Styela clava: one gene and its partner. The protein of the gene in region 1 interacts with the protein of each later gene in a biochemical or structural test. Links are inferred from orthologs where the notes say so. Each region holds a gene or a part of one and is shown on either strand. Other genes may lie near its edges. The genes, in order: E3 ubiquitin-protein ligase MARCHF6-like and ubiquitin-conjugating enzyme E2 J2-like.

Region 1 (16,384 bases):
TACTATCTGCTGCATCATGACCTCCAGAAGCCATTTTTAGAGTCGATTTTACTGAACTAACAAGCAGGTACCGAACCCATCAATAAAACTATTACAGAAATTAATAAATAAAATGTTAAAATTCCATGAATTGCGAATAATAAGTATAAAACAATATCCACCCTTGGTGTATTTAATAAATAATCTTCATCTACTCCAGAACTTCATACAGCTTTCTTAATGTGTAACCTAGTTTATTTTTATGATGTTTAATTTTAATGTATCTGGGATGAACAACAAAAAAACAATAAACATTAAGTTTCAACATATAAGAAAATTTTTTGACTATTTCCAGTAACAAGTAAATAGTATAACTTTACAGCATTGACAATATATATTTTAAATCTGTTCAAATTATATAATACATAAAAAGTAAAATAATAAGTTTTTTTCTAATTCATCATGATCAGAATACTCTTATTAATAACTCTTAAAATAAACGTAGAATGTTAGTCAATCCAATAGTATCATATCAAACTATTTGTTTGACATTGATATTGTGGTCCAACTGGAAACTACATAGATATTATTAAGTATATTAAGTAAAGCAAATAGATACATCCAAATATAATTTTAACCCATTAAATACTCCAGGCTCACTACATATACGACGAGTATACCCATATATACCATCACAGTGAACAACTAGCTAACAATATCATATAGCACATAGTATAACAAGGAATGTTTTCATTAAAAAAAACATCCCAGTCAAAAAAAAACTTTGGCCTGGCATCAATATATCATGTTTGAGCATACGGTATATAACAAAAAAATATTTCAAATGTTACAAGGTTCAGAACCCTTACTAAGTTGTTCTTTATCATATGCCTGAAAAAGACGTCAATGCTCGCTACATGATTCATGACTAAAATTACATTGCCCTGACTTATTGAGTAAAGATAACACTAGGAATGTTTTATACTAACATTGAACAATAGAGATTAAATACAAAGAAGTCACCAGGCAAAAGCTACAAAAAAATAAAAATATGAAATAAGTGAAAAGTTACACTGACAGGTTTTTCGAATTAAAAATTAAGGTATAACTAACATCTATTACATTATCATTATTTCACAAAACCACCTATTTTTAATTTTAGGCCAATTTGTGTCATGATCCATAGATTTATAACCACTATAGTGTGATAATAAGTGGTCATAGGAATGATATAAATAAATTTAAAAGCTAATTACTGATGTAGCTCATAAAAGCTTATTTGTGTATTCATTTATCATGGTGAATAATAAAATACAATCACAATTCACAACAGTTCAATTGCAACACAAGTTGATAAAAAATTGCACAAAACTGATGAATAATACACTTAATTGTGCAGAGAAGCATTTCGAACAATTTTATTTCGATTAGGTAATGCGAAAAATATAATATATGTTACTAAAAAGTTAAAGTTAATTACAATAATTCTCAGTGAAGTTTATTAGTACAGTATTACTTATTATATTATTGCTTGATCACAGCTTTATTTTTTATAAATAAATATATTTGCACTGACCTTTTGTTGATGAAATTGATAAAAACAGTGATAAATTTGTACCGAAATATTTGTGTATAAAATCCGAATAACTTAAACTTTCAAAAATGTGAATTAATGTCATTAAAAAAGTTTATTTTTCAATTCAGATGTTTGAATATTACGGTAACTCTCCCAAAAAAAATTTTTTTTTTGGAAATACAATTTTTTATATCAAATCTTATTGCAAGATACAACAATTTTTGCTTTACATTTACCAATTTAGAATATTTCAATTCAAAATTATTATTAAAATCTGAAAATACCAAGAAGTAAATGTTCAGATATGGAAGGAGATAACTATCATGAGCAACCTCTCTCTACTATAAGCAGCATGATTTAGAGTTGATCTGATAACATAGCAAATTTTATCAGTATTTCAATATGAGATAAATTTGAGAATAAAAAATGGAGCCACGAAAAATAAAAAATGAAGGAACTACGAGATAGCTTACTACAAAATAACACTTTTCACTAGTCTAATATGGAATTTCATAACAGATTTATTATTTACAACATAAAGGATAAAGTAACACTACATCTTGAAACTTGAGGGCACCAATAAAAACGAAATTCAAAAAAGTTTTATGCATTTGCACCATAATATTGAAAATAAAGCATTATTAATAATAAGTGGAGATGTACGGTAAATAATAAAATCATTTATCAGCTTCCCATTTTTATACTCAAGCTATATTTCTCTTCTACTCAGTCTTTTCACTATATTATATTATTATTTTGTCATATTTCCTAAATATAAACAACAACAAAATTCATGCAATATACGAATTATTAATCTTCATAAGTGAATTTTATGTGAGAAATAGGGGAAGAAAACACAAACTTATTTCAAAGATGACTTTTCCTCTGGACTTGCTGGATTCACAGGTGAATTTGATTTTGTCGAACTTGAATCAGATTTGATATTGAGAGAAGTTGAAGGTCGTGTGACAATCCACGATGGAACTTGAATCCCAGTAAATACCTCTAAAGATCCGAACCACATAAGAAATCCTGGAACAATCGGGCCATTGCATTTTACTTGCTTGAACGTATGAATGTGTCGACGTGTTTCGGCATTATAAAAAGACAATATTCCAGTAGAAAGATTGAAGTAGACTCCATATCTATTTGGTGTTTGACCTGATGAATCTAGATTTTTAACTTTATTGTTATGTTTCGCAACGAATGTATTCTGAATCCAGCTGCTGATATGTATACACCATGATGTTGCTGTTTTTCCCAGTTGATCAAATCTGGCAAGCGATTTCAAGGTTATTCCTACAGAATACGTTTTGCAGTCAGGATGAGGTGAAACCTCAAAATAAGCTTCTTCGTCACTAAATGCTGTGTCAGCAAGTACAGTGTAAGACTCTCCAGTGAAGCGATCTTTAGGTTTAGCTCTTCTAGGAGAAGATGAGGTTACACCTTTCGCCGGAGACGGCGAGCGAGTCATGCTAGCACTTTTTATTCTATTATCTTGAGAAACTTTATTTGACGAAGCGTCCCATTCCACAACATCATCTGAAATCACTTTAAGATTTGGATGGGAGGCGTCTGGATTGAGAGCAAAATGAAAAGCTGGAGTAGAGATTGACCCTACTTTACTCCATGTACCCCCCATTGCCTTATTCCAAGCCTGCACACGGAACTCAAGAAAAGGTTGATGAAATATTAACCCTTTTATATCACATTGCATTGAACGAACACATTCAATAGTGATCCATGGAATATTTTCTCCGCTAGTTCGAACCTGTCGATATTGTACGACGAAATAATTGATAGAAGAAGGCAGGTGAAGACGATCTGTTTGTTCGCTGCATAAACTTATCGGCATATCAGCAGATAAAAAATTGTCTTCTTCTTCCAAAATTGTCCATAGGCAATGAACGATATTGTTTTCCGCAAAACATCCGGCTTTAACAATTTCGGGTTGGCTTGGAATAGGTAGAAATTTCAGCTGATTCAAAACGTTTTGTTCCCTAGCGAAATCAGCATAAAAGAAGCATTCTGGTTCTGCATTATCATCAAACGGGCACAGCGAAAGCCGAAATATAGGAGACATTGTTACACGCTCTTTAATACGAAGAGCGGCTTGTGAGAATTGATCGGGTGCTGTCAAATCTAGGGCCTCATTGGACATTGCAATTAGATCTTCAGCATCATGTTTTGCTGATTCGAAAGTTTGTAAATGCTCTTGCAACGGTTTCATTTTCTCTGCTAATTCAGTTTCAATCTCAGACATCATTCGAGTTCGAGCTCTTTCGAGACTTTCTGCCAACATCTGGAATTGCTCGTCCAGTTCTAAAATCGAATCTTTGTAACAATTTTCGAGTGTGTCAATTTTTGAATGAAGTTCCCGTGCATATCTATCCACTTCTTCATATTTTGTTTGTACAGTTCCAGTAATTCTCACCAATGCTTCTTTTTGTTTATCCATCATATAAGTAATATTAATAATATGGTAGTATCTAAGTATGAGCAAAAGAAAATTCAAATATATATTATACACTGTACAGTATTACGACATTTTTATCAACAGCATCCTTTTACCAAAAGTGAAAATGTGAGAGAAATATCAAGCACAAATAATATTAAGCAATAAAGTTCATAAAATACAATTATTGAGATGTGATTATTTTACCTTCCATATTTTTTCTGCGCACGATTGCCTAGTGGTTAGAGTTAGAGACTTAACTGTGTCACGTTCACAGGTTACATATCTCTATCTTCAAATCCCATGTCCACCACCTCAAAAAAGTGCAAATAATAGGATAGGCAATATTGAAACGGGGAAATCGTATTCTTCAGAAACATCCTAATATGCCAACGATTATTCAAATATGTGCAAGATGGTCTTCCTTTAGGAATGATAAATACTTATTGTCATTCATTTCAAACACACTTTTTCAATACAGTTAATGCCAAACGAAGCAATGAACAATAAATCCCAGTCAAGAAATACAAATAAGCACAAACACATCTGATTATAGATACATAATAATAAGTTATTGACACTGCAAGCTTGTGAGGCTGGCCAAAAGCCATGTGAAATTTACTAATTTGAATAATCTTCTGAAAAAAAAAGATTTTCACATCTGAGAAGCATTCAAAATTTATACAAATCAGTGTGAATACTATGGGGACTGAATTTAAAGGCAGAAATGTAGAGCAAATAACAGATATTTTATCTGGTTTTCCTGTTGTACCAATGTTTGTTATAATCTGCCTAATCTCTTCAATAGTCCAATTCTTGCTTGTGGATGCGACAATAACATATTATTGATGAAAATATTGTAAAATAATTGATAATTTAGAGTACTATATTAGATATGGTACTATATTGAATTTCCCAGTACAACGAGAAAGCAGTTCACAAAATTGATGAGACAGATCAATCATCTATTGAAGAAAGATCAGGCTTATTTTAGACTACGAAGGCAGGTAATTAACATAAGAAAATATATAATTCTCTTTGAATGAAACAATGGAAATATCATGCAGTGTAATGCGGAGATGGCCGAACCCAAATAATCTACCACTGTAATTCAGATATTGAATATATTTTAAATTAGATAAGTATATTTAACAGAGAACATGTTGAAGTTGATTCATATTCAATGTGTTCAAATATGGAAAAACAAAAAAGTTTCAATTGATTTTCTATATCTTAAAAATTTTTATAACTTTAAAATAAGGCCTGTGAGACTTAAATTTCTCAATAGCTTTTTCGAAATTTACTATCCTTAATTAATTCTAAAACCAAGAACTTAAAATCCCAAATATAATTAATTTTGAATTGATTCGAAAATTTGATTTAATTTGAACAGTGAATATGTAACAAAATTTTGTTGGGAAAAAACTGCTATATGCCAAATTTATCCCTAAAAAAGTCAATTTAACAAAAACAATAGTAATTTTTATACTCAGTTCTAACGAAGTCTTAATTATTCATTAAGCAATTCAAATTCCATTTCAGCTGAATCATCTTGAACACTTCTTTACACAGAAGTTTATGTTACACTATCATTTGAGTTCCTTTTACAAACGTTTTCCAATTTTTTTTTACAAAAAATGAGGAAGTTTCTTTTATGGTTTTCATTAATAGACTAACTATCCATGGTTTCCAAGCACGATACTTCTAAAACTTGTTAGATTTACCAAACATAAGGCAGTTCATTCATTTCTATTAGAAAATTATTAATCTCCAGATAAGTGCAATACTATATGGAGGCAAAACAAAAACACAGAAGAATAACAGACAAAAAACACAGTTATACAATAAGCTGTAAAAATCATGAAATTATTGCAATAAAATGAAGCAGCAGAAAAAACTCACAACAATTGAGTTAAACTGGAAACCAGTTTCCAAAAAAAATTTTTTTTATTCAATAATAACAAATTGATATCAAATTAAAATTATTTAGGCTTTAGCAGGCTCGTAATTGAGTAATCTTTTCCCAACAAGATAACGTTCATTTTTGATATGATCGCACAATCGACGAAACTGCTTCGCTTCAAACATGAGAAAAGAAACTAGTGCAAAAAAGGAAATGAGACAAGGATATATACGACGTAATAAAATATTTGAAAAATCGTGTGGCAAACCTAAAACATATGTGGCCGAATGAGCAATCACATATGGCACAGTTAAAGATAATAAAAGACTACACATAATGGGATGAATAACATCAACGTACATATCACGAAGACTGAAATTTCTAGGTCCTTGATGAAAGACCCTCTCTATAGCAATTCTTATTTTCCATTGGGGGCCGAGCAAGGTTAAAGCAACTGCTAACTTAACTAAAAGAATTCCAAGCACCCAATCTTGCCAAAGAAAATTAAGAGGAGATTGGTGTAAAGGTACTCTCAATGGAATTACGATTACCAGCTCAAAAAGCAATCCGAACAATAGTGGAAATAATCCAAAAACAAAACCCCCAACAATCGCAATTTTAGAAATCATTTTAATCAATGTTTTACACTCTGACCAAATCGCTCTTGAACCCCGAGGAAACCATACCATTGATAAGTTTACCAAATGTCCCATCAGCCAGCATGTATATAACCCCAAAGCTGTAGGATATAAATCATGTATAAAATTAGCATTTTCAGTACCTAACCACAAACTAAATAAATATCGTCCAATTCCCACAGGTACGACCATTACTGTAAGGCTGATCAATGAAAGCGTTGCACACATTAAAAGTAGCAAAAGCACAATTCTAGTCACAAAATAATTTGGGCGAGTATAGGGTTGATGTATCTCGCCATCTAAAGCCATCTGTTGTGGTTCTGGGTGTAAATTTTGCTGCTGAAATGGCACAACTGGAACTTCTTCTTGATTTTCATCATTATTATTTACCGCCCGTTGAGGTTGAATTTGATTTTCATTTTGAGCTCTGGCATCGCCGTCAGTATCACCAAGAAGATATGACTTTACACCTAGTAAAGTACCAACAACTTTCGCCCAAATCTTTATTATTGATTTCAACCATTGCCTTGTCTGGCCTTGCTCTAGTAAAGCAGGTATGATAACTTGCAGTAGGATAAGTTCAAGAGATAAATCACTGATTGGAACATCTTTACGTAAATTAACATGATATGGTAGAAAGTTGGGTGAATAACGAAGTATCATTTGCACTGGCAAATAAATCATCATTAGAACTGCAGATCCAAATATAACGACTGAAAGTAAAAATCTTCGAATATGTCTGTACAATGGTAAGTGGATCATTTCTTGAATCGGGTTGAAATCCGGATCGTTTAAATTGCGTAGGAACCATAATGCGCCAGGACGCAAAACTTCTTTTAAAAGCAGCATGAATGAAGCTGTGTAAAATATATAAATCATTCCTAATAACCAATGGAAAAAAGTCGACGTTCCAGGTGAATTTATGTAATTAGTAACTCTTTCTTGAACAGTTGTATTAAAAAGCTGTAGTGAGCAAATGTCCAACCACCATCCACATACAAGTGGGAAAACACCCATTTCAAACATAACTAGCAGAGCTACTTTCAATACAATATACAAAATCCCAAGAACTCTTCCAGATCGTTGCATTTTCAACAAAAACATAGCAGCATGACACACAAAAAATGCCACGGTCAAAATAACGTATCCGAATAAAGTGGTGAGGAATCCTTCGAATCGTGAAGCAACGAGGTAAACATCAAGGTCAACCGCTGCAAGAACAAAATGTCCAAGATGATACGGACAAAATGCAAATACAAGAATGAAAAGAGTGTTGAGTGAAACAACCCAGAATACATGCTCGAGAAAAACTAGAGATCCATCGAGTCCCAACATTCTTTCCCACGTTAATTCTTCCGCAGCTCTATCCCATTCAAGTGCATTCCAATTGCCATCATCTCCTTCATTTTGTACATCCACTTCATTTTCCTCCAGATCTTCAACTTCAGCACCATCCAGCTGAATCTCTTCTGGTTCCGCATCTTCCTCCTCCTCATCTATGTCTTCAGAATCATCCGATTCATCCTCTTCTTGTTCAACAATATCTTCAGCATTCGGGACTCCATGTTCTATGTTATTGTTATCATCATTTATCGCAACTTCTGCATTCGGAGCTACAGCGACGTTATCAGGACCGTTTCTATTTAGCCAGCCTGGCATGCCACCATTCATGATTTGTTCGCGAAGCCACACTAATCCGATGAAAGAAGCCATCGTGCAAGCCACGACCAATGATCCACATAAAATATCCTGTCCTACATTTTCAGTAGAAAGCATATCCATTGGTAAGCTCAGTAAAGATCTTACCGATCCGGTAAAAAGACATTTATAAATTCGACAAGCGGTTAGGGGGACAATACCTAACCAAGCCACCGCTACCAAGGTATAATGCAACCATGATCTTACAGCCATGAATATGCTGCGGAATAACCCATACACGAGGTCAGTTACTGGCAGACGAGTGGGCATATCAGCACTATAAATTGGCTTGAACGAATACTTATGCTTGCACAATTCACAATATTCTTTTTTGCTGTGGCGAAGCCATTGTACCAAACAGTCCTGATGTACATATCGTATACTTCCAGTACAAATACATGGATGATAAAGTGGTTTGTCTTGGGAACCTTCAGATCTACATACACGACAAATATAATCGCTCTCTTCGACAGAGGCCATGGTTTTCTGATCTATCTGAGACTTGTTTTAAATAATTCCCAACATAGATATAGACTGGAATAGCAGCTATTTTATTGAAGATTCAGAAAGAACTATTTTGTCATTCTACAAAAATGAATCAGAATAATAAAATTAGAGGAAGGTTTTTTCAATTGCTCGCTAGTTATTGAATAAGTCGTGTATTATCTTTCGACACGTTGTCGTATATTATCATCGAAAATGATTACCGTACTCTTCCATTTTGGTGGGTGTTGTACTGTCACAATAACGTCATGAAAGTATCTCAGAAATGCGACCTCCCTATTTCTTGGGTAACAGTTTGCATAAAAATGCACGCAAGCACAATCCATTTTGTGTTTGTCAGCTTGTGATTGCTGCCCTGCCGCCTGTCCCAGTTCTGCCTAAAAAATCATTAATCTCAAAAAATCTCTAACTGAACAATTCGCAGATTAATATTTTTTATTGAAATTTGGTGAAAGGAATCAGTGTGATGTAAAACAAATTGTTAAGCTAGCTTACAGGTACCGGTACTGTAGTGTCGCCTACATACTGACATAGTCTACAACCTCCAAAGCTTTTTGCGAAGGAGCGATAGTCTGTTCGTAAGCCTTTCCACAAAACGCTAGAAGCAGAAGGCAAGGTTTATTAACCACAAGGTGTCGGTAAGGGAATGAAGAGAGAGAATTTATATTTTCGTCAAACCAGAAACATGATGATACAAATAATAATAATAATAAAACAACACATAAACAGTTTTCGGTAAATGACTGGATGATAGCGATACGGCTATATACGGTCATATTTGGTTAATTATTTTCAACTCCTGGCGTGGATTTCCAGTTTTATAAAATGGACAAATATTTACCAATCGAATGAAATATAATTGTCTATTTTCTAATATCGATTGATTGATTGATCACCACAAATATCATATTTCTATAATATACTGCGAGTGCCCATTTTGATTCAGATTTTTCTTATTCTAGTTCTATTACGAGTTCGGGGATTGTGTGTGCGTGTTAGCCAAGTGAATATATCCTGTGCCCATAGGTTTCTGTCCCTTTACACAACTTGGTGTAGAGTAGGCGAACAATATTAGTTGTCTTCATATTGGTACACACACTTATGGAGAGCTCTTTAGTTCTATTTATATGTACAGCTCGGGTACTACGGAACCAGGTCACGCAATGATATTGAGAAAATACGCAAATACAAAAAATAAGGCCAAATACAGGTGGGGAAGCGATTCCGATAAGCCATCTTGGCTAATATTTTGTGGGTGTTTTTGACTGATACGTTTGCCCAATGACATTAAACAACATTGTTTAATGTCATTGGTTGGCCGTAATATTAACCACGACTTTCGCAAATATATAAAACTGCCAAAATTAGCACCTTATGGTGGGCTGGGATATACTAGCGTTTGATACATGATGAGAAACGAATCAAGATCAGGAGAATATGCGAGAAAAATCAACGCAAATGATTGATTTCATGTCAAATCCAATCGGAAATCCATTACGCGCCTCGGAAAAGTTGAAAGTCTATCGTCGAAACGAGAGAGCTTTCAAATGGTCCCACGGAAACGAGAGAGACACCAGGGCAACATCAATCGAGGTAGCCATGGGGATGGATAGGTTTAGGTCAGGATGAAGTGAGTTACGAACTGTTTAAGGCGACAAAAAATTTCTGACAATAAATTGAAATGACTCAGGAAATAGGAAAATAATGTTTACCTAAGTATTGTCTTTTCTGCTTATTTCCCAATCAGGATGAAGTCAATAATGAGGTAACAATTGAAATTTGTGCCGATGATCAGACAGATATTCAATTCAATTAGTTTATTCAATGACATTAAACAACATGATAGGCAACTCTGACGTCACTCCATAAGACTACAGGCGAAACATTATATTTCATGATACGCTCCAATGCACATATTTCTCGTCGCCTTTCGCGTCCGTTTTCCGCTCGCTTTTGCTACTCGGCGTCTTTTTTACGTGTAGTACCTGCCTTTTTGCGCCTGTAACGAAACAAAATAATCTCTATATCTAAGAAGTTTTGCTTACTTGGAAAGCTGGAATAACAGGCAAGCTGTAAAGAGCAATTCTGGACATCATAGACGTTTTTTTTTTATCAGAGAAGATTACAAACGCGATAGCGGAAAGATTTGTGTGGAACATTTTGCCGATAATGACAAAGTTCAAAGTTAGTAATTTTAATGTTTGCGCTTAATCATTGAAATTTCATTTAAAGAGGGTGTCATACAAAACTGTGCTGCGATACAATTCCATAACACAAAGTTTGCACCTATCGAACTTGCTTTTGTAGGTGAATTTATTAGACATATTATATATTCAGTTAATCGTAGGTAACATTGCTGGTACATAATGCATCGTAGATAGGTTTGTTTAAATTTAGGAATTTAGCTCATAGCCCACTAATTAATATTATCTTCTATGCAGGAGGTTGCAGGGCTGAATTCAACTTGCAGCCTTACCGATCACCTGACGATGCTCATTTAGTTTGGCTCGAGCAAGTCTTCTTGAAATGCTTGTGTGGATGGAAACTACCTATATTTTTTGCCTTCCTCCGATTTTAGACAAATTTATTCTGCGGGATTTCGCATATAATTCTCACTGATTGTTGGCTGTTTATAATTCCTATTGATTGTGAATTCTGATTATAACAATGAATTGAAAATTTTTTTACCTAATTTACTGGCACCTTTTTCTTGTCAATACTCCAAGCTGAGGTAATAAACATGACAATACATTTATGTCATCTGGAAGCAAAATATGCACACTAATTAATAGTTTGGCACATTGAGATAATACATCATGACAGAAAATACAAGTTAAAGATATGTATGACCATCACATGGTAATTAAAATTAAAAAAATTAATAGGGGCTATGGAGTATGAAAAGTTCAAGACAAAGAAAAGAACAAATGTTCATAGCTCATGAACTCTCAATTTTGCCTCCATTGCTTTGTGAAGGCCAATATATTTCGAGTGGCTGAATTGGTTTACCTTTATGATAGCAACGATTTTGTATTTCATATAGCGAGATTATTTCAATTTAATTGAAGTGATATAATTTCCCAAAGCAATGCTTGAATCGTCTAGAATAGATCAGTGGTGTCAAACTCATGGGTTTTCGAGAGCCGCATTGCATTTTGAAAATTGTAAAAAGAGCCGCAAACAGTTTTTGATAATGTATACTTAAAAGATATTTTTAAGATAGTTTTAGTTTGTGACATATATTGTGATGCAACTAAACAGTTGGATTAAGTTTTATTATTTTCTTCAATTTCAAATGCAATTACATATTAATATTTGCATTCCACTATTATTGCAACATTTGCAAGTTACAGTATTTATTATAAAAAATCGTAAAATTCTATGTACAACCATCAAAATCATTTTTGAACAAGCTTTGAATAAAGAAAGAAGAATACATACACTAAAAATAACTTAATCTAAATATATGAACCTAAAATTAACAAAAATACTACAGTTTAAACTCAATGTTTTAATAATTACATTTGTCCTGGCGTTTGGCATCTTTTTTGTGCCACCAGCATACTAAGGCCAGTTCGAAATGATTTTATAGTACCAACTCTAACTAACGAGGCCACATGATCATGGGTTTATCTGGATCTTTACGAATGTTTAATTAATTCCAGTAATGCAAAAAAGTTACTTTTATCATTTCATGTATAGATCAGTAAAAAAACAAATGACAGATTTTTTCGACAAGACATTTGCACTACATTGCGTGGCATAGGATTGCTTGAATTATTATTGATATTGATTTTTAGTAACTAAGTCGTTGTATAATTATATTAATATACAAACACATGGAAATTTTCTGTTCGAAGTTGGTCTTCGAATTTGTCATATTGACTGCTGAGCTTATTGTGTTTTTTGATTGTATTGATGGGAATATGACAAATTAAACAATGTGCTTCAGAATTTTGTGAAGAGCAGAAATGTTACAACTCCCATTTTCTTCGAAAATGCCACTTTCTTCATGTACTTTGCGTTTAATTTAATTACTCAAGTGTTTTATTCAAGTATTCTTTTGCTAGCTTGATGTGTATTCTTAATTGGGTCAAAATGTGGACAAAACAAATTAATATTCCAAAACTACTTTCAGTAAATTGTTTTCTGTGTGAAAAATCAATTTCACTTTAGAAGGTTTGAAAAATCTATTACATTTAGATAAAAAAAAAACTTCCAAAATACTATTACAATTATTGTTAAGCGTTCGAGAGCCGCACTGGAAGTTCTCTGGGGCCGCGAGTTTGAGATCCCTGGTCTAGATTGAAGTTGTTCAAAAAATATATGATAGTATTTTATCATGAATGATGATTATACCCCTTCCGGAATTTCTTCTATAGTACTACCAAAAGTTGATGAACCAAATATAACACAGGTGCAGTGAGGTACCCGTAATCCTCATTTCCAAAGCTGTTTTAAGTATGTCTGGCGTGTTTTGTGCCTTTTTACAAATAAGACCGCTTATGCAATCTTACGCTTTGGAATTTTTAGTTATTTCCCTCAAGCCCTGCAGGATGCGGGGGCCATAAACAACTCTACCGGAGGGTCAAATGTCTTTGCATGCCTCCATAGGTTGTTTTTCTATTGCAAACATTATATTTCTTGGAATCACACTGTCACTGATATGTCGCCAGACTTCTGATATCTCCCCGTCTGCTATAGTTGTCCTGTGAATAAATAATAGGAAATTGAGATTAGACGAATAGTTGAAAGTTTTGCTTTATGTCGGCTTAATTTCTTGATTGATATACTTACTATTTCTGCTATTGTCTCTTGTACTGCAAGAGTCTCACAATGCTTAGACAGGTTTGTCCACAACTTTCACATCTGAAGAAAGAGAGGAGATTTATTAATTTTCGTTAAGAATAAATAAAGCAGTCTATATGATTTAGAATGGAAAAGCTAATAAATCCAATATCTCATGTTTTAAGTAAAAAATATTTTACTGAATTTGGTATATAAACCAACTAATAAAAAGGGTTTAGTCAGAAATTTACAAGCATTCGTGGCTCCAAATACTTGAGAAATCAGACTATACAATATAGACCGGTATGAGTGAAATGTTAGGTGAACTTGTTAACACTTTGATACAATACGCAAATAAAAGTGAATGCGCAATAGTATGTTACAATGAGCAGCAATCAACAATGAGTATATATCCTCACTGATTAAAAAAATCTAACTGGAGGTGCATGAACTATTTGAAACCATAAGGGGTAAGTAAATATGTAATTTCGGCAAATGGGCAACTACGTACCGTACTGAATTAATAACTTCGTAGTATTTGACAAAGGCTGGCTTTCCCACATGTACCTAACAGTGCGATGCCCGGGTGTGATATACAACAATAGTATTCACCTTACCTTTTACCGATTTTATTTTACCCCAACTTTCAAAAATATCATTAAAATCGACAACAACTGTCAAAGCAGGCACGAACACCATTCGTGCTACGCCTCGAAAGCAGCACACGTCCGCTCGTTTTCGTCTCGTCAAGTATGTGCATTGGAGCGTGCTATTGAATACGATCTTCGGACAAAAATGTCGGAGTTGCGCATCATGTTGTTTAATGTCATTGGTTTATTACACCAGATAATATAAAAACATAAACAAATCAATGAACACAGGTAAAAACGAAACTAGCACAGTAAATATATGTTTGAATACCGCAATATCAGCCAAACAACATATATTATGAATTAAAATTACAAAGGCAATATTGCCAAAATAACAGCCACCATGTTTTCCCTAAAATGATACCTAACCTTAATTTAAAAACAATATTTTGATATAAGCCCTTTTCCTAAATAGGACCTAGTCGATAACGTGATATTTTTTTCAAAGAAACCACACTTTTCCCGCCTGTGTATAAATCATTGTTTGAATAATCCTCGTTTGTTTGAACTTGCGCTAATTTGTTTATTTATATATATTATCTTATTATCATCCTTTTAGATTAGAGTTGACGCCATGATTATTTTTTCATATTTTTCCTATTTTCTTTTTTTTGCTCTATATATATCCACTTGTGTCCTTTCCATATTATGGCCTGATGAAGTTTTTCTGTATAGAAATTTGAAACGTCGGCAAATTACATCGTTTTGCTAACACCGGTTGTGCTCCATTTATTATCAACATGAGTTTACCTGGTGGCAATCATGCACCACTGTCGACTTTTATGTTTCTGACGCTTGTGAGATTCAACGTAGCCCTTCTGGGACGAATCGAAACCGGCAAAGCGAAAAGTTTGATCATTTGGCGTCAAGGCGTCGGTCGCTCAGACAAATAATAGACTATCGCACTTATCAAACCACAATATGACGGCTAAGAGAAATTGCTTAATAAACCAACGCAACATCGTCTTTTCGGTCCCGGCAAAGCGATTGAGACGTCAGAAAAGTTGTTTTTCAGGGGTCAAAGTTCTGGAAAACATCCGTATTTAATAGCTCTCCAGCTCAGGGTTGTCATATTGGCTTTTTATTGCCCAATTGAACGTTTTGGCTTTTTTCTAGCACGTTTGACTTTTCAAGTCCAGTGTAGGCTATATTATTAAAATTATATGAAATGCGATATTTAGCGTGCGACTATTGCCTAGCTACTTAACAATTGGATTTCCCCGAGCTTCGATTTCCTCATTTATTACTTTAACACTTAACCGTAACCAATTAGAAATAAGTCAGCAATGATGTAACACTTGGAAGTTCAAGTAGAACCATGTAGGTATATCACATACAGACATACTAAATCGGCACCATGTATTGTATATATACCAACAATGGTCATTTTATCATGTGTCTAATTGCTCACACAAAAGCTCAATATAAAGATGTAGAACGTGCACTTGTTGGAGCAGACAATTACCGTCTGGCAACGGAGTTCAGTCATTTTTATTGCTCCTAATAAATATATTGAAAAATCAAGAGAAGAAAGGTTAATAAACGTAGGCTACTAAAAAGATATTTGACATTCACTCCAATTAATCAACGCAAATCGTTGATGTCATCGAATGAACTGTTGAAACGATCGGGTCGACTTCATCCGGTGGCAAAAGTCCGAATCGAAGAAACGACCTCGATCCAAAAAAATCCCGAACACGGGCTCTGAAGTTCGGTGAATGGCGGTGCCAACCTTCCAGATGATTGTTGGTTCTTATTTCTACTAGAGATGTACCGATACCACTTTTGTCGCCGATACCGATACCGATCCGATACCAGTCAAAAACGCCGATACCGATACGCCGATACTACAAAAAGTCCGATATTACCGATATTCCGATACCGATACTATGTAATTAATACTTGATTAGGTGTGCTGTGTAAGACAGACGGGTTAAAACAATGGTCTTAGAGCGTTGTTCATAGTTCACATTATTTCAGATCGAATAAAAAGATGTATCACATAATATGAAATTAATGTTCGGTATCCATATGCTTTAGTATTCTTGGTGTTCAATTAGAAAACTCACAAGCCGGGATATCCAATTTGAATTTAATGTCAATATCGCGACCTTAGAATATCGTTATTCGTGTTTAAAAAAATATCGAATATCACCCACCGCCGCCGCCTACGTTCAAATTAAAAGCATTTTA
Region 2 (17,398 bases), on another chromosome or scaffold:
GGGGTTGAACATTGTGATTTGGTTGATTTGCAATACCAATTCGACGGAACAAAGCAGGAATATTTGTTCCCACCTGACAATTATATTCAGATATTTATAACACACAAATATATATACCGTAAAAAACGGTACCAGTACTCCCATAGTATGTGAACCAAGATGCAGACACTGGAACGTAATGTGTACCAGCTACCAGGTTAGTGTTGGGCCACAATTTTATTCCATGTTAGTTCAGCAATTAAAGGGAAAACTGAAGTTTTTGCTTCAGCAACAATTTATAGACACGATCAACATTAACAGATCTACGTCAGGTTTAGTTTGTTATCAGCAGAAATACATACTTGGCGATGTCTTGCTTGCATTCGATTTTGTATAATTGTACGTTCAATTTCATCAAGTCGCATTTGTCTTTGTACAGACAAAGTCGCACCAATTAATCCGTATGTTGGCTTTGTAGAACCCAACTAAAATATGGGAAAGATATTTAACAACAGGATCATATATTCAGCGGATTGAAAAGTTCGAGCTCTGCGGATTAGGAGGCTGTATTTCATAACTCTAAAAAGTGGAAATTTGGTCAAAAAAATCTCGCTGTCTTAGAGACAGAATCGGAATTAAAATATTTTCAACCTAGGATAGCGTAGTCATTCTATAAGCCAGTTATGTGTCATACCAAACATTTCTATCTACAGACTCTCCGGCAAAAACTAATATGATTGAACAAATTTTACAGATCATTATAATATATATGGTGGATCAAGGTGCTTGTCTACAAGGTAGATAGATTTGATACAATCTTGGGCTATGTGCATCTAGATTTTAATAAACCCTGATTCTACTTACCAACATTTCTAAATAGTTTTCTGTGGTTTTTCGAAATGTATCTGGTAATGATAAAAAACTTCCAACATACAAAATATTATAATAGTAAATGAGTCCAGAAATCTGAATGTAAAACAAACTTTCACTATATACATTTATATACTTTTTTATAAATTTATGACAAAATAAAAAATTATTTAATTAAGGATTTTGGAAGCACGCAAACAGCAGTGCAAGTCAAGGTTAGATCTGATAATCAACAGCAAAACAAGGCATGGTTCATAAACAAGCTGTGCTTGAAAGGAAATTTGGTTGAAGACGAATTTACATAGCAACAAATAGGATAGAAATGGTCCTGCACCTTCCCTCCAGGGCTGTGAAGCAGGAGAAAATTTACAATCTACTCCAGGTTGTAAAAAACTCTTAGAGAAAATCAAATTTTGATAACAAAAACTTCAGCATATGCAAGCCTTTTTTAATTGTCTGGTAAGAGCGCTTAGTTAAACTATTAGTTTTAGTAGGAAGTTTGGACATTATAAGCCTGCAATCTGGCTCAGTCTCCAGATAATTCAGAATTTTACCTAAACTCTCGACACGACATCAAGGAGTTTAAAAATACAATTCAGGTTCAGACTCCAGTGAAAATATACAAAATTTATTTTATCCCACCCCACTCGGAAACAATTTCATCTGCAAGAGTAATAATCACTCTATTTATATCATACATTTGGTTGATTCGTACAGTATTATGCATTAACCCATTACAGTTCACTATATACTTACCAAACCGAGTCCACAAACAGGATATCTTGTTTCATCAGTAGCAATAATCTGGACCACCAGACCATAATGAAGTATTTTTTGAGTAATCCTAATTGGGCCAAATCGAGCCTGTTCAATTCCAGGTATATCATGATAATAAAACACCAAGAGAGCATAGATGAGCCAGTACCTAAAACATGATCAAAGAATAGGTTCACGAATTTAGTCATCTTTACAAATACAACCGGACATAATTTCAAATAACCATACTGGGTTTTATTCTCCTACACAAACTCTTCAACTTATCTTGAATATCAGTCAGTAATAGAGACGCCTAGCTGTCAAATGCTTATTTAACTACGACATTGAACTGTATAAATAATAAGTATACAGATAACAAACTTGCATTCCTGATGGCAATATCTTGATCTCTTTGAAATAAGTGGTAAATGCAACTTCAAGTAATGATGTCAACAGCCAATTGCATAGAATGAAAGACTGAAAAAAGAAAAATCCAGTATAAGCTAAAAAATGGTGCAACATGTTAGGAATACGCTCACCACCGCACCTCTGATTACACTGCATTGGTTTGCAGGTGCGAATCCCATGCGGGGTTAGTTATGTGCGAGAAGATTGCTGGACTCATCGACGCTGTAGGGTGGTTCACATAACCGCTGGTCAGCTACAACTTTCTCCACCATCAAGTTCATGCTTCCAACAAATAACTGGCCAACTAATTCCATACCCAACATGAACTGGTAACCGGACGAAAAGCTGTGGTTTGCCATATGATTAAGTCGTCTTATCGGCTTCCCTCTCCCTCAAGGATAAATATGTAAATCCTATCCCTGCCCTGAGTGGCGAGAGCCTTGGGACTTCGTAACATCACAAGTTAAAAATTTCAGATTCAACTCCCATTCATGGGAGGGAATACTAAAAAGTCATTAGGTAATGACTTTTTAAGATTAGTTAATTCCTTACATACTATTAGCTACTTCTTTAATGCCTTTATTCAGTTCAAAGGCACTCAACTTTTTCCTCTGTAGAGATATTTCGCTAAAAATAGTACAAAAAAATTCACCTACCATGAACTTATATGAACCGAATCTTCTTTCAAAATCTGAAAACCCGTACAATAAAATACTTCCAAAAAAGAACTCATGAGGAGTTAAAAATATAAATTTTCCTGTCAGAAGCCTCCAAAGCTAAAAAAAAAATTTGTGAACACATTAATACAAAAGGTATGTTAGATACAAAGAGGGCGCTTTATTTATAATCATCACATTCATGCATACCTCAAATTTATTTAAAATCTTTGATATATCGTAAACAAAGAAATTTTTATATTCATGAAGTAATGTGTTGACAGCAACATATGTTGTAAAATACATCACGAGAAGACATTTCGATATTGTGCGTTTATCTGTAAAAACAAAAGATTATTGTTAATAATGATGAGGCTGAAAAATTCATGTATTTAATAAATAGAGATTGCTTTTGATATTACTCGCTTCATCGGAAGTTGCGATTTTAATTCTATTTAATTTTTTACCATTAATAATTTTTTTAATATTTCGAACAAATCACCGTTAATTTCTAATATTAATTTGAAAATTTCCAGATGAATTTTAAAGTTTAGTGAAAAAATATGTACGGTAAGTCGTATATCATAGTTTTGAGTAAACCTTTCGAAACTGCATTTGGGCTTATGTTAGTGGTGATGTTAAAAACCTCAATGACTGCAGAGCCTGAGCCTAGCTCCAAGGTAAAGAATAAAGCTTGAGCTGGGGTTGGAGCCATTGCAATTTAATTTAAATCAGCTCCTCCATGCCATGTACTAAATATGAAATATGCATCATTAGGATAATTCATTGTATCGAGAAAATATTTTATTTTGAAATAGCGATATGTGTACTAGTCAAAAGGTAACAATGTCATACTCACAGAATCCAAGATTCTCATTCATAGTGAATCTTTGGATGTTAATATTCAAGTTGAAGAGCTCAGTCCATGGATTTGAATAGATGACAAAATTTGAAGACTAATGTTTTACATAATGACATAATATGATACAAACGCAAAATATAAGATAATGAAATAAAAGATTCGCACAGAATTTGAAGGTTTGAAAAAAACAAATGTGGACATACAAGACAAATCATGTGGTGTGGACATACAAGAAAATCACAAAACCTGCAATCAATGGTCACTAGATTGAAAATTCAACAAAATTTTCCCTTTTTGTTTTTTGCACTTCACAAACACAGAAACAAACTCTTATAATAAACTGGCAAAAAACGTTCCCTCCCTTTCAGATTCAAAAGTATACCTACAAAAGTACCACATCCCAAAATCCCAAAGCAATTTTTAGTTCGGTTTTCAGATACATTGTCCGAATTGAAAATCAAAAACATCAAAATATGTAGAAATAAATACACATAAGAGGCATAACCAACATTGCCATTAAGGTGACGACAAAAATATTTTCCAATCAAAAAAATATTTCCTCTATATAATGTATTCACTCACGGTGCCCAATTGGAACTCATTTCAACAAAGTAAAACGATATTTACACGTATATTCTATATACAACATAGCAAACTGATTCACAGTGGAGCAAAACAGACTGTTACTATTACATTACATATGCTACTCTTACACACTCCTAGAACTGCTAATTTATTTAAAACATAACATAGAAGTCAATAGAAAAAACACTCGATTCAGGTGTACAAAAAAGTTAGCATGTATGGAAATTCAATGTATGTTAAGTAATCTAAATAATTTAACGACATTGTCAAACGGTAAACGGAAGTTAGATAAAGTTGACCAGTGAAATACATATGATTCATTATTAAATATATCGAATCCTTAATTTTTTCTGAATTGACTAGAATATCACCAATGCTGACTAATAATTGTGAGCCTTGTTGTCGTATGTAATGAATTAACCCATGGGTATGGCCATTAAAATACCTACATGTTATCTCAAGTAACAGGGTTATAATCTCAACTTTCCACAACATAATATTTATACTCCTTTTATGGATTGCCAATGAAAAATACAATACACTCGATAAATATTGTCGCAAAGCAAAAAATATGAGTGTTGAATACTCAGTTGAATAATGACCGAATTATACAAATTGCCATGATTTCATCAGGACATCGAAAAAATAAACTTACAATTGAACAATAAATGATTTGAAATTACTCCTTCAAAGATAAACAATTCCAATATGCAACATTGATGATTTTTTGTATTCCTGATGGAATTTATTGAGTGACATTTCTAAGTTTCCTCCAAATAGTGTTAGTCATATGAAACAGAGGAGTCCTATCCAATTGGTGTTGACAATATAAGTATTGGGTTGACTATTTTAAGGTTCAAAATTTCAGAATACCATATAAATTAAAAACGATATTAACGATTCATCATACCATAGTAATTATTTGTTATCTGTATTCCAGTTTCACATTGTACCTTATCGATGGAGCGTAATTAATATACATCTAATATTCAGCAATAATGTAAGCAGGCATTACAGAAGTATCCTTTGACAAGTAAATGAGCATTGCAAATTAATTCACATAAACAAGCACAGAGGTGCAGTGATTTAGGCCATCTAAGCAAAATTTTTTTTAGCACGAGTTGGCTTATTACGGGCTTACGGCTGTAATAAGTACGATACTTCGTAAGATCTATATCGTTTCTATCAAGTTAAATTTGCGATATAAACTTTTCACAAATATAATATTCATAAACTTTGAATAACGCTATTAACTGCAAGAGCAAATAGAGCAACTCCGGCAACAATAACTAAATTTACAAGATTAGATTGGTTGTCTCTCTCCCTTTCATTTGCAGCGTTTGATTGTTGTTCATTTTTTACATTAGCATTTGTTGTCTGAGATGTTGTTTGAGCATTCATACTTGCTCTAATTTCCTTGGCAACTCCTGGAAATAGTTCACAGAAAACTGAATCTTTCAAGTTGAATGGTCCACTCTGAAGTGCGAGTTGACGTTTTGTATAGTGTGATGTTTCAATAGAACCTAATGTGGCAGAATCTTCGACCATGAAACTTAACAACCCAGTTAAAATAGTTCCTACAGACCAGGCAGGATTCCAAGTATCTGGATGAAAATCACTTATCGATAAGCACAATCTTGTGTTGCATTTGAATCTTCCTGATGGGGTGATCATGTATATAGAAGGTGGGCGGAATGGGAATTCCCTCGGAAAGACTAATTTTCCATGATATATACCACCAAAATAGGGTGTGTCATTGGGTCCTAACACCAAGTAATGCCATTCAAGAATATTAGATGGCAGGGGTTCTGCAGTGACATATGGAATTGGATCTTTCTTTAACCTAAGATAGTCCTGTTTAAGTCTTTGTGTAGCCGTCGTTGGTGCACGCTGCACAGATGAGCTTTTACGAGACATATTGTTTCTGTCACTAAATATAACTTATTATAAGATACCGTAACTCCTGTAAAAACAAAAGAAAATATTGCACAAACAAATAATTAAATTCAGTAAAGGATTTACCGTGGTATTTTCAGCATCCATGCACTCTGGCGAATAGTTTTTGTGGGTAACAAAGTACGGACAAGGTGTGATAGTGACAAATTTCTCTTCATTAATAACTCCAGAATTTGTTTTTTATACAGCAGAAGCATATTTTCAAGTGGTACGTACGTACACAATTTTGCATCAAAAAATAAGTTCAAGAATGGTTCTGTGTTCTGTCATAGACGATGTTGAGGCAGAAGTTGGGTAGCAAGATTAATTAGACAGACCACTTAGGTCTTGAATTATGTTTTCAAATTTGTTATCCATACAATGTGTTTATACAACTGTGTTTGACACCAATTCATGTTTGAAAAATATTAAAATGAGTATCGTGAAAAATGTTTGTACAATTTGCATTTATGACACCAGATAGTTCAATACAAGAACATCAATAGCAAAGGTAAATTATAGCAAACGTTATCTATTTTTCCCGTAACCAAGTCCGAATTTCCCTTTTCCACTTCCTTCAGGTGCAATAGGTTCTGTAATCCCTGTTTGATATTTTCCTAGACTCTGTCCCTTATTCCAACCCATTTTCTTTAGCATTTGGTGGCCTTTGTTGTGATCGGCCAACTCTGTTTGCATTGAAGTTGGCATCTCATCTTTTTCATATGGATTATCACTGCCTAACAATCGCCTTCTTTCAGAAGCTCTATCCACATACTGCGGTTCAATACCGAATTCCGATTGCTTATATTTATCATTATGTAAATTATATTTTCTCCTAATATTCTTCAACTCAGATCGCCTTTGTTTTTCCTTTTCATTTTTTGTCAAAATTTCAACTGAATTATTGGTCTTATTTGTATCAATCATGGCTTGGATTTGACCAGGTTCACAGTCATCGCATGTATCATAACCAATATGCAGATGTAACACAAACACAGTGTTTCCTATTATTAGCACACTTTTATGTGTAATAGGGCTGGCTAGCACAGTTGTTATACCAGGATTATGTTCGGTGATAGAATTTAGAGTTGTTCCATTCTCACTCCCATAATCAGTGACAAAGTAATTTCTTTGTTGTTGGTTATAAAACACTGCTGCATGTTTTGGACTTACATCAGCTTCTTGTATTTGAATTTCACAGTTTTCACTTGAACCAAAAATTGCACCATAACGAGTAATTAAAAATAACGTACCAGATGTTAGACTTTTAGATGAAGTGACCATAGCTCGAATGCATGGAATCACATTAGTTTCTAAATCCAAGTCTGTATCATTTTCATCCAAACAATCCATTGAATAAATGACTTTTTCTTTTGAAAATTTGGAAGAATCATCACACACTAACTTAAAGTTTTCTAAGCAATGGCGTTTATTTGAATCTTCAGCTAAATCCGAAGCTTTCCGTCGTTTTCTCGACTCTGTTATACCTTCACAACAAACAGAATTAACAAAAGACAAACATTTTGGACATTTCAAAAATTTAAAAGGATGTGTTGACAATGTCTCTAGTTCAGTATCAGAGCAACTGTCTAATTCTGATATTTTTTCATCTTTTCTTGTCATTCTGTTACATACTGATTTGCCATTGATATTCATATTTAAGCATTTTTCATTCTGGCAACAACAGGTTTCCGTTATGTTAGAACATTTCCTACATACAAGATAATTTTTCCTTGTTGATTTAATGCATTCAATCTCTGAATCAGACAAACTGTAATCATGATATGGTGATCGCCCGATTTCAGTTTTGCATATTGATATACAATTTTTATTGTTTTCTGCCATCCCTTCAACTTCAGATTGGCTATTCGTAAAGTGGGAGCAAAGTTCGTTCACCTGGATTGCTTTGAGATGACTCTTCTGAGATTTTCCATATTTAAATACCGCTTTTTTCAGAGACGAAAAAAAAATTTTATCACCTATTTGCTTTCCAATAATATCATCTCTATCAATATTCGTATTTGACGTGTCATTGAAGCTCATAAGTTGATGCTGAAACTCGTATTCTTGTGAGTCCTGATTATATTTATAATAGCACCCATTTTTATAATTGTAATATAGCTTTGTGTTGGGATAGTAATATAGACTAGTGTTGTAATCAAAGTAGATACCCCTTTGTTCATCATAAACCCACCCAGCCGTGTTCATATATGAACGAGCAGTTTGGGCAATGCTTTCAGCTGTGAGTGTCTCTGCAACATTGGATGTATTTTCGTACAAGTGATTTTTGAGTTCCTCATAATCACATTCAGTTTGACAGCTTGCGTCAACAAATTCGGGATGATAAATAGTTTCTGGCATATTACATTCAAACAAACTTAGTTTTTGTTTCAAAATTGCATTCTCCTTTCTTAAATCCAATATTTCAGATCGAAGTGTGCTCAGAGCAACTGCTTTGTCACAATTACATTGAAATGACATAATTTTATAATGTGTTACAAATTTTTATATGGTTTTCATTTACCGTACCGTAAAAGCGCCTAACTTCGGACAGTTCCTAACTTCGGACAAAATTTTTGAACGGCCATATCTTGGCTAAAACGCGCCGTATATTGCTAATTTTAATTATTATAGGATGCGCTGTTATATCTACATCTATTCTCATCTTTTTTAATGTTGCATAATTATTTTTTTGGTAAAAAAACAGAAATTTTGCCGAAAATTGACTGCCCGGCATTCAACGGCGCAGAGCGTCGCTCCTACTGAAGCTATCATCGTCAAAATACCATCATTCGGTAGAGGGCGACAACAATGTATATAATTTATTTGAGTGATCGCAAGATGTCGTACGAGATTTAAATAAAACCTAAAATTCTGAATTATAAATTTCGTAAGAATATTAAGATTTCACGCAGCGTCAAAAATACGTCAACCTCACGTAGATTATTTTTCGCTCACTTCCGACACGACGTCACACTGCGTCGCGGAAATGAATTTTGACGCCAGACACAACGGAGCCAATATGACAATTTCCGTTAAGATAAAGACGGCGTTCCAATGTAATATTTTTGTATTTTGTTCGGTCATGTATGAATATATGCCAAAATTACATTAATGAAAATACATGTCACACTTAATCGATGACGTTAAAAATCGAATATATAAAACTATGATAATTCCAACGTCCATATGGCACAGTGCACTGACTTAACCATTATTTTATGATTAGTAGTCGAAATGACAGTTATTGAATACGGCCTGGGTGGATTTTATTCACTCGAAATTAAAAATAAATTTAATCTCCAACAAATAAACGGGACCTACATGTTTACAAGATTAAGTTGAATTTTAAATTAAACTTTACAATCGGATTTACCGTGTGTTTGATATAAATTATCATTTATAAAGATAACTGCACAGAATAAAAAAAAGCTATCCGCCGAGAATATTAATACTTCAAAGACTTCGATAGAAGCCCGTTAAAATACTTCATTGTGGATTGAAACGGTTTGCATCAGATATATTTACGTATGCATTTCCTGATTAAAATGACTAACGTGTTATTATACTCATCTGAAGTATTGAAAATAACGAACGAAAGATGTAAACATAGGACGACGGAAGTTTCAAATAATGCATTTTCGTCGTGACGTCAATGTTACGTTACGACGACGATCGAGCGTCTTATCTTCACGCAACGACGTGATTACGTCATCCGCATCGGAAGCCTCTTTCTCTCTGTGCGTCGCGGTTACGCAGTGAAGAAAATGACTGTCCGAAGTTAGGGCAGTGAAGGATAACGGTCAGATGGCAAGAAATATCGATTATTTCAATAGTAAAAATAGTCCAATTGAACCGAAATTTGCAGGGAATGTAAATTACCGCACGAATGTTTTACCGAGCAATTTTGGCACCGTTTGGACAATAAATGGCCGAGTTATAGACGAAAATATAGTAATTTTGTCCGAAGTTAGGCGCTTTTACGGTACCTTTGATTCACATCTAAGACAGAATAATAATATAATTTACTTTTTCAGTTCTTTTAAAAATGAAAGCCTCCTGCCCCCAAGATGACCATGACGTTATGTCATATAAAATGATTCTATTCAAAATATTATTAGCAATAGTTGAAAACTTATTTGATAAGTTGGCAGAAAAAGAGATTTCAAACTTAAGATGATAAATATTGTACTCCTTAGTCGACTAAATATCTTGTAATCTGTTCGAATCACTGAATCAGGGGGAATGGGAAATACAACTTTTCCAATAATTTCGTCTTGGGTGAGCGAACACGTACTACTTCTTTTATCAATACCTTTCCATCTAAAATCTGTACCGGTACGTTTCAAACCTTACTCTAGGTTTTGTTCGCTTTCCCGATTCTATAATCAGTTACTTTTGTTTTTATCTATTTTTTTATCGTCTTTTGCTGATTATGGAGTCGAAATATACTTATTATACTTCATTGTGAAGGTTCAATACCGTAAGACATTGCTTTAAACGGGTCTCGGGCCTCGTGTAGTTTCGTAGGTACCGTACACCACTGTGAAGCTAGTAGCACGGTGACCTTTGTATGCGACCAGGCGAAAAGTTCAAATATGGAGGCAGAATTATGGGCGGAGCCAAATTCGCTACACCAAACAAATACGCAAATGGAATTAACAACAACATTACATGGGTATTTGAGAGTTGTTGTAAGCAAAAACTGGGAATTTCATTATTAATAATAATTTTATTATATTCAGTCTGCATCTCGCCAGCCAGAGTTACTGAAAACTAATTCGTCAAAATCGACATAAGGGAATAAACGTGAAATTTCACATTTTTCATAGTACAACAGCAAGTCTTTCCGATTAAAAGGGGCGAGCTTTTATTATTGAAAAATATATTAAGATATACACTCTTCATCCCACAAGTTGAGTTGTTAGGAACCAAATTTTGCAATTATGTGCATTCCGGTACTGAAAATGCCCTATTTCGTCGAAATTTTCATAGGCGAAATAACGTAAAATTTCACATTTTTCAAATTACAACAGCAAGTCTTTCCGATTAAGAGGGGCAAGATTTTATTATTGAAAAATATAATAAGATATACACTCTTCATCCCACAAGTTGAGTTGTTGGGAACAAAATTTTGCAATTATGTGCATTCCGGTACTGAAAATGCCCTATTTCGTCGAAATTTGCATAGGCGAAATAACGTAAAATTTCACATTTTTCAAATTACAACAGCAAGTCTTTCCGATTAAGAGGGGCGAGATTTTATTATTGAAAAATATAATAAGGTATACACTCTTTATCTCACAAGTTGAGTTGTTGGGAACAAAATTTTGCAATTATGTGCATTCCGTTACTGAAAATGCCCTATTCCGTCGAAATTTGCATAGGCGAAATAGCGTAAAATTTCACATTTTTCAAATTACAACAGCAAGTCTTTCCGATTAAGAGGGGCGAGATTTTATTATTGATAATTATTTTAGTATATATACTCTTCATCCCACAAGTTGAGTTGTTGGGAACAAAATTTTGTAATCATGTGCATTCCGTTACTGAAAATGCCCTATTCCGTCGAAATTTGCATAGGCGAAATAACGTAAAATTTCACATTTTTCAAATTACAACAGCAAGTCTTTCCGATTAAGAGGGGCGAGATTTTATTATTGAAAAATATAATAAGATATACACTCTTCATCCCACAAGTTGAGTTGTTGGGAACAAAATTTTGCAATTATGTGCATTCTGTTACTGAAAATGCCCTATTCCGTCGAAATTTGCATAGGCGAAATAACGTAAAATTTCACATTTTTCAAAGTACAACAGCAAGTCTTTCCGATTAAGAGGGGCGAGATTTTATTATTGAAAAATATATTAAGATATACACTCTTCATCCCACAAGTTGAGTTGTTGGGAACAAAATCTTGTAATCATGTGCATTCCGTTACTGAAAATGCCCTATTCCGTCGAAATTTGCATAGGCGAAATAACGTAAAATTTCACATTTTTCAAATTACAACAGCATGTCTTTCCGATTAAGAGGGGCGAGATTTTATTCTTGATAATTATTTTAGTATATATACTCTTCATCCCACAAGTTGAGTTGTTGGGAACAAAATTTTGTAATCATGTGCATTCCGTTACTGAAAATGCCCTATTCCGTCGAAATTTGCATAGGCGAAATAACGTAAAATTTCACATTTTTCAAATTACAACAGCATGTCTTTCCGATTAAGAGGGGCGAGATTTTATTATTGATAAATATTTTAGTATATATACTCTTCATCCCACAAGTTGAGTTGTTGGGAACAAAATTTTGTAATCATGTGCATTCCGTTACTGAAAATGCCCTATTCCGTCGAAATTTGCATAGGCGAAATAACGTAAAATTTCACATTTTTCAAATTACAACAGCAAGTCTTTCCGATTAAGAGGGGCGAGATTTTATTATTGATAATTATTTTAGTATATATACTCTTCATCCCACAAGTTGAGTTGTTGGGAACAAAAATTTGTAATCATGTGCATTCCGTTACTGAAAATGCCCTATTCCGTCGAAATTTGCATAGGCGAAATAACGTAAAATTTCACATTTTTCGAAGTACAACAGCAAGTCTTTCCGATTAAGAGGGGCGAAATTTTATTATTGAAAAATATAATAAGATATACACTCTTCATCCCACAAGTTGAGTTGTTGGGAACAAAATTTTGCAATTATGTGCATTCTGTTACTGAAAATGCCCTATTCCGTCGAAATTTGCATAGGCGAAATAACGTAAAATTTCACATTTTTCAAAGTACAACAGCAAGTCTTTCCGATTAAGAGGGGCGAGATTTTATTATTGAAAAATATATTAAGATATACACTCTTCATCCCACAAGTTGAGTTGTTGAGAACAAAATCTTGTAATCATGTGCATTCCGTTACTGAAAATGCCCTATTCCGTCGAAATTTTCATAGGCGAAATAACGTAAAATTTCACATTTTTCAAATTACAACAGCAAGTCTTTCCGATTAAGAGGGGCGAGATTTTATTATTGAAAAATATAATAAGGTATACACTCTTTATCTCACAAGTTGAGTTGTTGGGAACAAAATTTTGCAATTATGTGCATTCCGTTACTGAACATGCCCTATTCCGTCGAAATTTGCATAGGCGAAATAACGTAAAATTTCACGTTCTTCAAATTACAACAGCAAGTCTTTCCGATAAAGAGGGGCGAGATTTTATTATTGAAAAATATAATAAAATATACACTCTTCATCCCACAAGTTGAGTTGTTGGGAACAAAATTTTGCAATTATGTGCATTCCGTTACTGAAAATGCCCTATTTCGTCGAAATTTGCATAGGCGAAATAACGTAAAATTTCACATTTTTCAAAGTACAACAGCAAGTCTTTCCGATTAAGAGGGGCGAGATTTTATTATTGATAATTATTTTAGTATATATACTCTTCATCCCACAAGTTGAGTTGTTGGGAACAAAAATTTGTAATCATGTGCATTCCGTTACTGAAAATGCCCTATTCCGTCGAAATTTGCATAGGCGAAATAACGTAAAATTTCACATTTTTCGAAGTACAACAGCAAGTCTTTCCGATTAAGAGGGGCGAAATTTTATTATTGAAAAATATAATAAGATATACACTCTTCATCCCACAAGTTGAGTTGTTGGGAACAAAATTTTGCAATTATGTGCATTCTGTTACTGAAAATGCCCTATTCCGTCGAAATTTGCATAGGCGAAATAACGTAAAATTTCACATTTTTCAAAGTACAACAGCAAGTCTTTCCGATTAAGAGGGGCGAGATTTTATTATTGAAAAATGTATTAAGATATACACTCTTCATCCCACAAGTTGAGTTGTTGAGAACAAAATCTTGTAATCATGTGCATTCCGTTACTGAAAATGCCCTATTCCGTCGAAATTTTCATAGGCGAAATAACGTAAAATTTCACATTTTTCAAATTACAACAGCAAGTCTTTCCGATTAAGAGGGGCGAGATTTTATTATTGAAAAATATAATAAGGTATACACTCTTTATCTCACAAGTTGAGTTGTTGGGAACAAAATTTTGCAATTATGTGCATTCCGTTACTGAACATGCCCTATTCCGTCGAAATTTGCATAGGCGAAATAACGTAAAATTTCACGTTCTTCAAATTACAACAGCAAGTCTTTCCGATAAAGAGGGGCGAGATTTTATTATTGAAAAATATAATAAAATATACACTCTTCATCCCACAAGTTGAGTTGTTGGGAACAAAATTTTGCAATTATGTGCATTCCGTTACTGAAAATGCCCTATTTCGTCGAAATTTGCATAGGCGAAATAACGTAAAATTTCACATTTTTCAAAGTACAACAGCAAGTCTTTCCGATTAAGAGGGGCGAGATTTTATTCTTGATAATTATTTTAGTATATATACTCTTCATCCCACAAGTTGAGTTGTTGGGAACAAAATTTTGTAATCATGTGCATTCCGTTACTGAAAATGCCCTATTCCGTCGAAATTTGCATAGGCGAAATAACGTAAAATTTCACATTTTTCAAATTACAACAGCATGTCTTTCCGATTAAGAGGGGCGAGATTTTATTATTGATAAATATTTTAGTATATATACTCTTCATCCCACAAGTTGAGTTGTTGGGAACAAAATTTTGTAATCATGTGCATTCCGTTACTGAAAATGCCCTATTCCGTCGAAATTTGCATAGGCGAAATAACGTAAAATTTCACATTTTTCAAATTACAACAGCAAGTCTTTCCGATTAAGAAGGGCGAGATTTTATTATTGATAATTATTTTAGTATATATACTCTTCATCCCACAAGTTGAATTGTTGGGAACAAAAATTTGTAATCATGTGCATTCCGTTACTGAAAATGCCCTATTCCGTCGAAATTTGCATAGGCGAAATAACGTAAAATTTCACATTTTTCAAATTACAACAGCATGTCTTTCCGATGAAGAGGGGCGAGATTTTATTATTGAAAAATATAATAAGATATACACACTTTATCTCACAAGTTGAGTTGTTGGGAACAAAATTTTGCAATTATGTGCATTCCGTTACTGAAAATGCCCTATTCCGTCGAAATTTGTATAGGCGAAATAACGTAAAATTTCACATTTTTCAAATTACAACAGCATGTCTTTCCGATTAAGAGGGGCGAGATTTTATTATTGATAAATATTTTAGTATATATTCTCTTCATCCCACAAGTTGAGTTGTTGGGAACAAAATTTTGTAATCATGTGCATTCCGTTACTGAAAATGCCCTATTCCGTCGAAATTTGCATAGGCGAAATAACGTAAAATTTCACATTTTTCAAATTACAACAGCAAGTCTTTCCGATTAAGAGGGGCGAGATTTTATTATTGAAAAATATATTAAGATATACACTCTTCATCCCACAAGTTGAGTTGTTGGGAACAAAATCTTGTAATCATGTGCATTCCGTTACTGAAAATGCCCTATTCCGTCGAAATTTGCATAGGCGAAATAACGTAAAATTTCACATTTTTCAAATTACAACAGCAAGTCTTTCCGATTAAGAGGGGCGAGATTTTATTATTGATAATTATTTTAGTATATATACTCTTCATCCCACAAGTTGAGTTGTTGGGAACAAAAATTTGTAATCATGTGCATTCCGTTACTGAAAATGCCTTATTCCGTCGAAATTTGCATAGGCGAAATAACGTAAAATTTCACATTTTTCAAATTACAACAGCTTGTCTTTCCGATTAAGGGGGGCGAGATTTTATTATTGAAAAATATAATAAGATATACACACTTTATCTCACAAGTTGAGTTGTTGGGAACAAAATTTTGCAATTATGTGCATTCCGTTACTGAAAATGCCCTATTCCGTCGAAATTTGTATAGGCGAAATAACGTAAAATTTCACATTTTTCAAATTACAACAGCATGTCTTTCCGATTAAGAGGGGCGAGATTTTATTATTGATAAATATTTTAGTATATATACTCTTCATCCCACAAGTTGAGTTGTTGGGAACAAAATTTTGTAATCATGTGCATTCCGTTACTGAAAATGCCCTATTCCGTCGAAATTTGAATAGGCGAAATAACGTAAAATTTCACATTTTTCAAATTACAACAGCAAGTCTTTCCGATTAAGAGGGGCGAGATTTTATTATTGAAAAATATATTAAGATATACACTCTTCATCCCACAAGTTGAGTTGTTGGGAACAAAATCTTGTAATCATGTGCATTCCGTTACTGAATATGCCCTATTCCGTCGAAATTTGCATAGGCGAAATAACGTAAAATTTCACATTTTTCAAATTACAACAGCAAGTCTTTCCGATTAAGAGGGGCGAGATTTTATTATTGAAAAATATAATAAGGTATACACTCTTTATCTCACAAGTTGAGTTGTTGGGAACAAAATCTTGTAATCATGTGCATTCCGTTACTGAAAATGCCCTATTCCGTCGAAATTTGCATAGGAGAAATAACGTAAGATTTCACATTTTTCAAAGTACAACAGCAAGTCTTTCCGATTAAGAGGGGCGAGATTTTATTATTGAAAAATATAATAAGGTATACACTCTTTATCTCACAAGTTGAGTTGTTGGGAACAAAATTTTGCAATTATGTGCATTCCGTTACTGAAAATTCCCTATTCCGTCGAAATTTGCATAGGCGAAATAACGTAAAATTTCACATTTTTCAAAGTACAACAGCAAGTCTTTCCGATTAAGAGGGGCGAGATTTTATTATTGATAATTATTTTAGTATATATACTCTTCATCCCACAAACTGAGTTGTTGGGAACAAAATTTTGCAATTATTAGCATTCCGTTACTGAAAATGCCCTATTTCGTCGAAATTTGCATAGGCAAAATAACGTAAAATTTCACGTTCTTCAAATTACAACAGCAAGTCTTTCCGATTAAGAGTGGCGAGATTTTATTATTGAAAAATATAATAAGATATACACACTTTATCTCACAAGTTGAGTTGTTGGGAACAAAATTTTGCAATTATGTGCATTCCGTTACTGAAAATGCCCTATTCCGTCGAAATTTGTATAGGCGAAATAACGTAAAATTTCACATTTTTCAAATTACAACAGCATGTCTTTCCGATTAAGAGGGGCGAGATTTTATTATTGATAAATATTTTAGTATATATACTCTTCATCCCACAAGTTGAGTTGTTGGGAACAAAATTTTGTAATCATGTGCATTCCGTTACTGAAAATGCCCTATTCCGTCGAAATTTGCATAGGCGAAATAACGTAAAATTTCACATTTTTCAAATTACAACAGCAAGTCTTTCCGATTAAGAGGGGCGAGATTTTATTATTG

What was found.
Region 2: the proteins of E3 ubiquitin-protein ligase MARCHF6-like (region 1) and ubiquitin-conjugating enzyme E2 J2-like form a complex in vitro, tested with the Homo sapiens proteins (2 studies listed by BioGRID, with this or other methods). The link is inferred for Styela clava from reciprocal best matches to the Homo sapiens genes MARCHF6 and UBE2J2.

The regions. Positions count from the first base shown.
Region 1 is NC_135262.1:12,198,965-12,215,348, reverse strand, and holds E3 ubiquitin-protein ligase MARCHF6-like, read right to left. Parts: upstream 8,868-16,384; 5' UTR 8,730-8,867; coding exon 5,997-8,729; 3' UTR 4,044-5,996; downstream 1-4,043. Other genes in the region: FSD1-like protein, read right to left, coding at 2,418-4,016; uncharacterized protein LOC120332569, read right to left, coding at 15,772-15,954. UniProt on the Homo sapiens protein: Endoplasmic reticulum membrane-associated E3 ubiquitin ligase that plays a critical role in mitigating endoplasmic reticulum stress, the regulation of cholesterol and lipid homeostasis, and ferroptosis.
Region 2 is NC_135261.1:15,005,323-15,022,720, forward strand, and holds ubiquitin-conjugating enzyme E2 J2-like, read right to left. Parts: upstream 6,060-17,398; 5' UTR 6,034-6,059; coding exon 5,344-6,033; 3' UTR 3,626-5,343; downstream 1-3,625. Other genes in the region: ubiquitin-associated domain-containing protein 2-like, read right to left, coding at 1-73, 342-464, 844-945, 1,606-1,774, 1,991-2,082, 2,670-2,789, 2,880-3,007, 3,529-3,550; uncharacterized protein LOC120329411, read right to left, coding at 6,580-8,532. UniProt on the Homo sapiens protein: Catalyzes the covalent attachment of ubiquitin to other proteins. Seems to function in the selective degradation of misfolded membrane proteins from the endoplasmic reticulum (ERAD).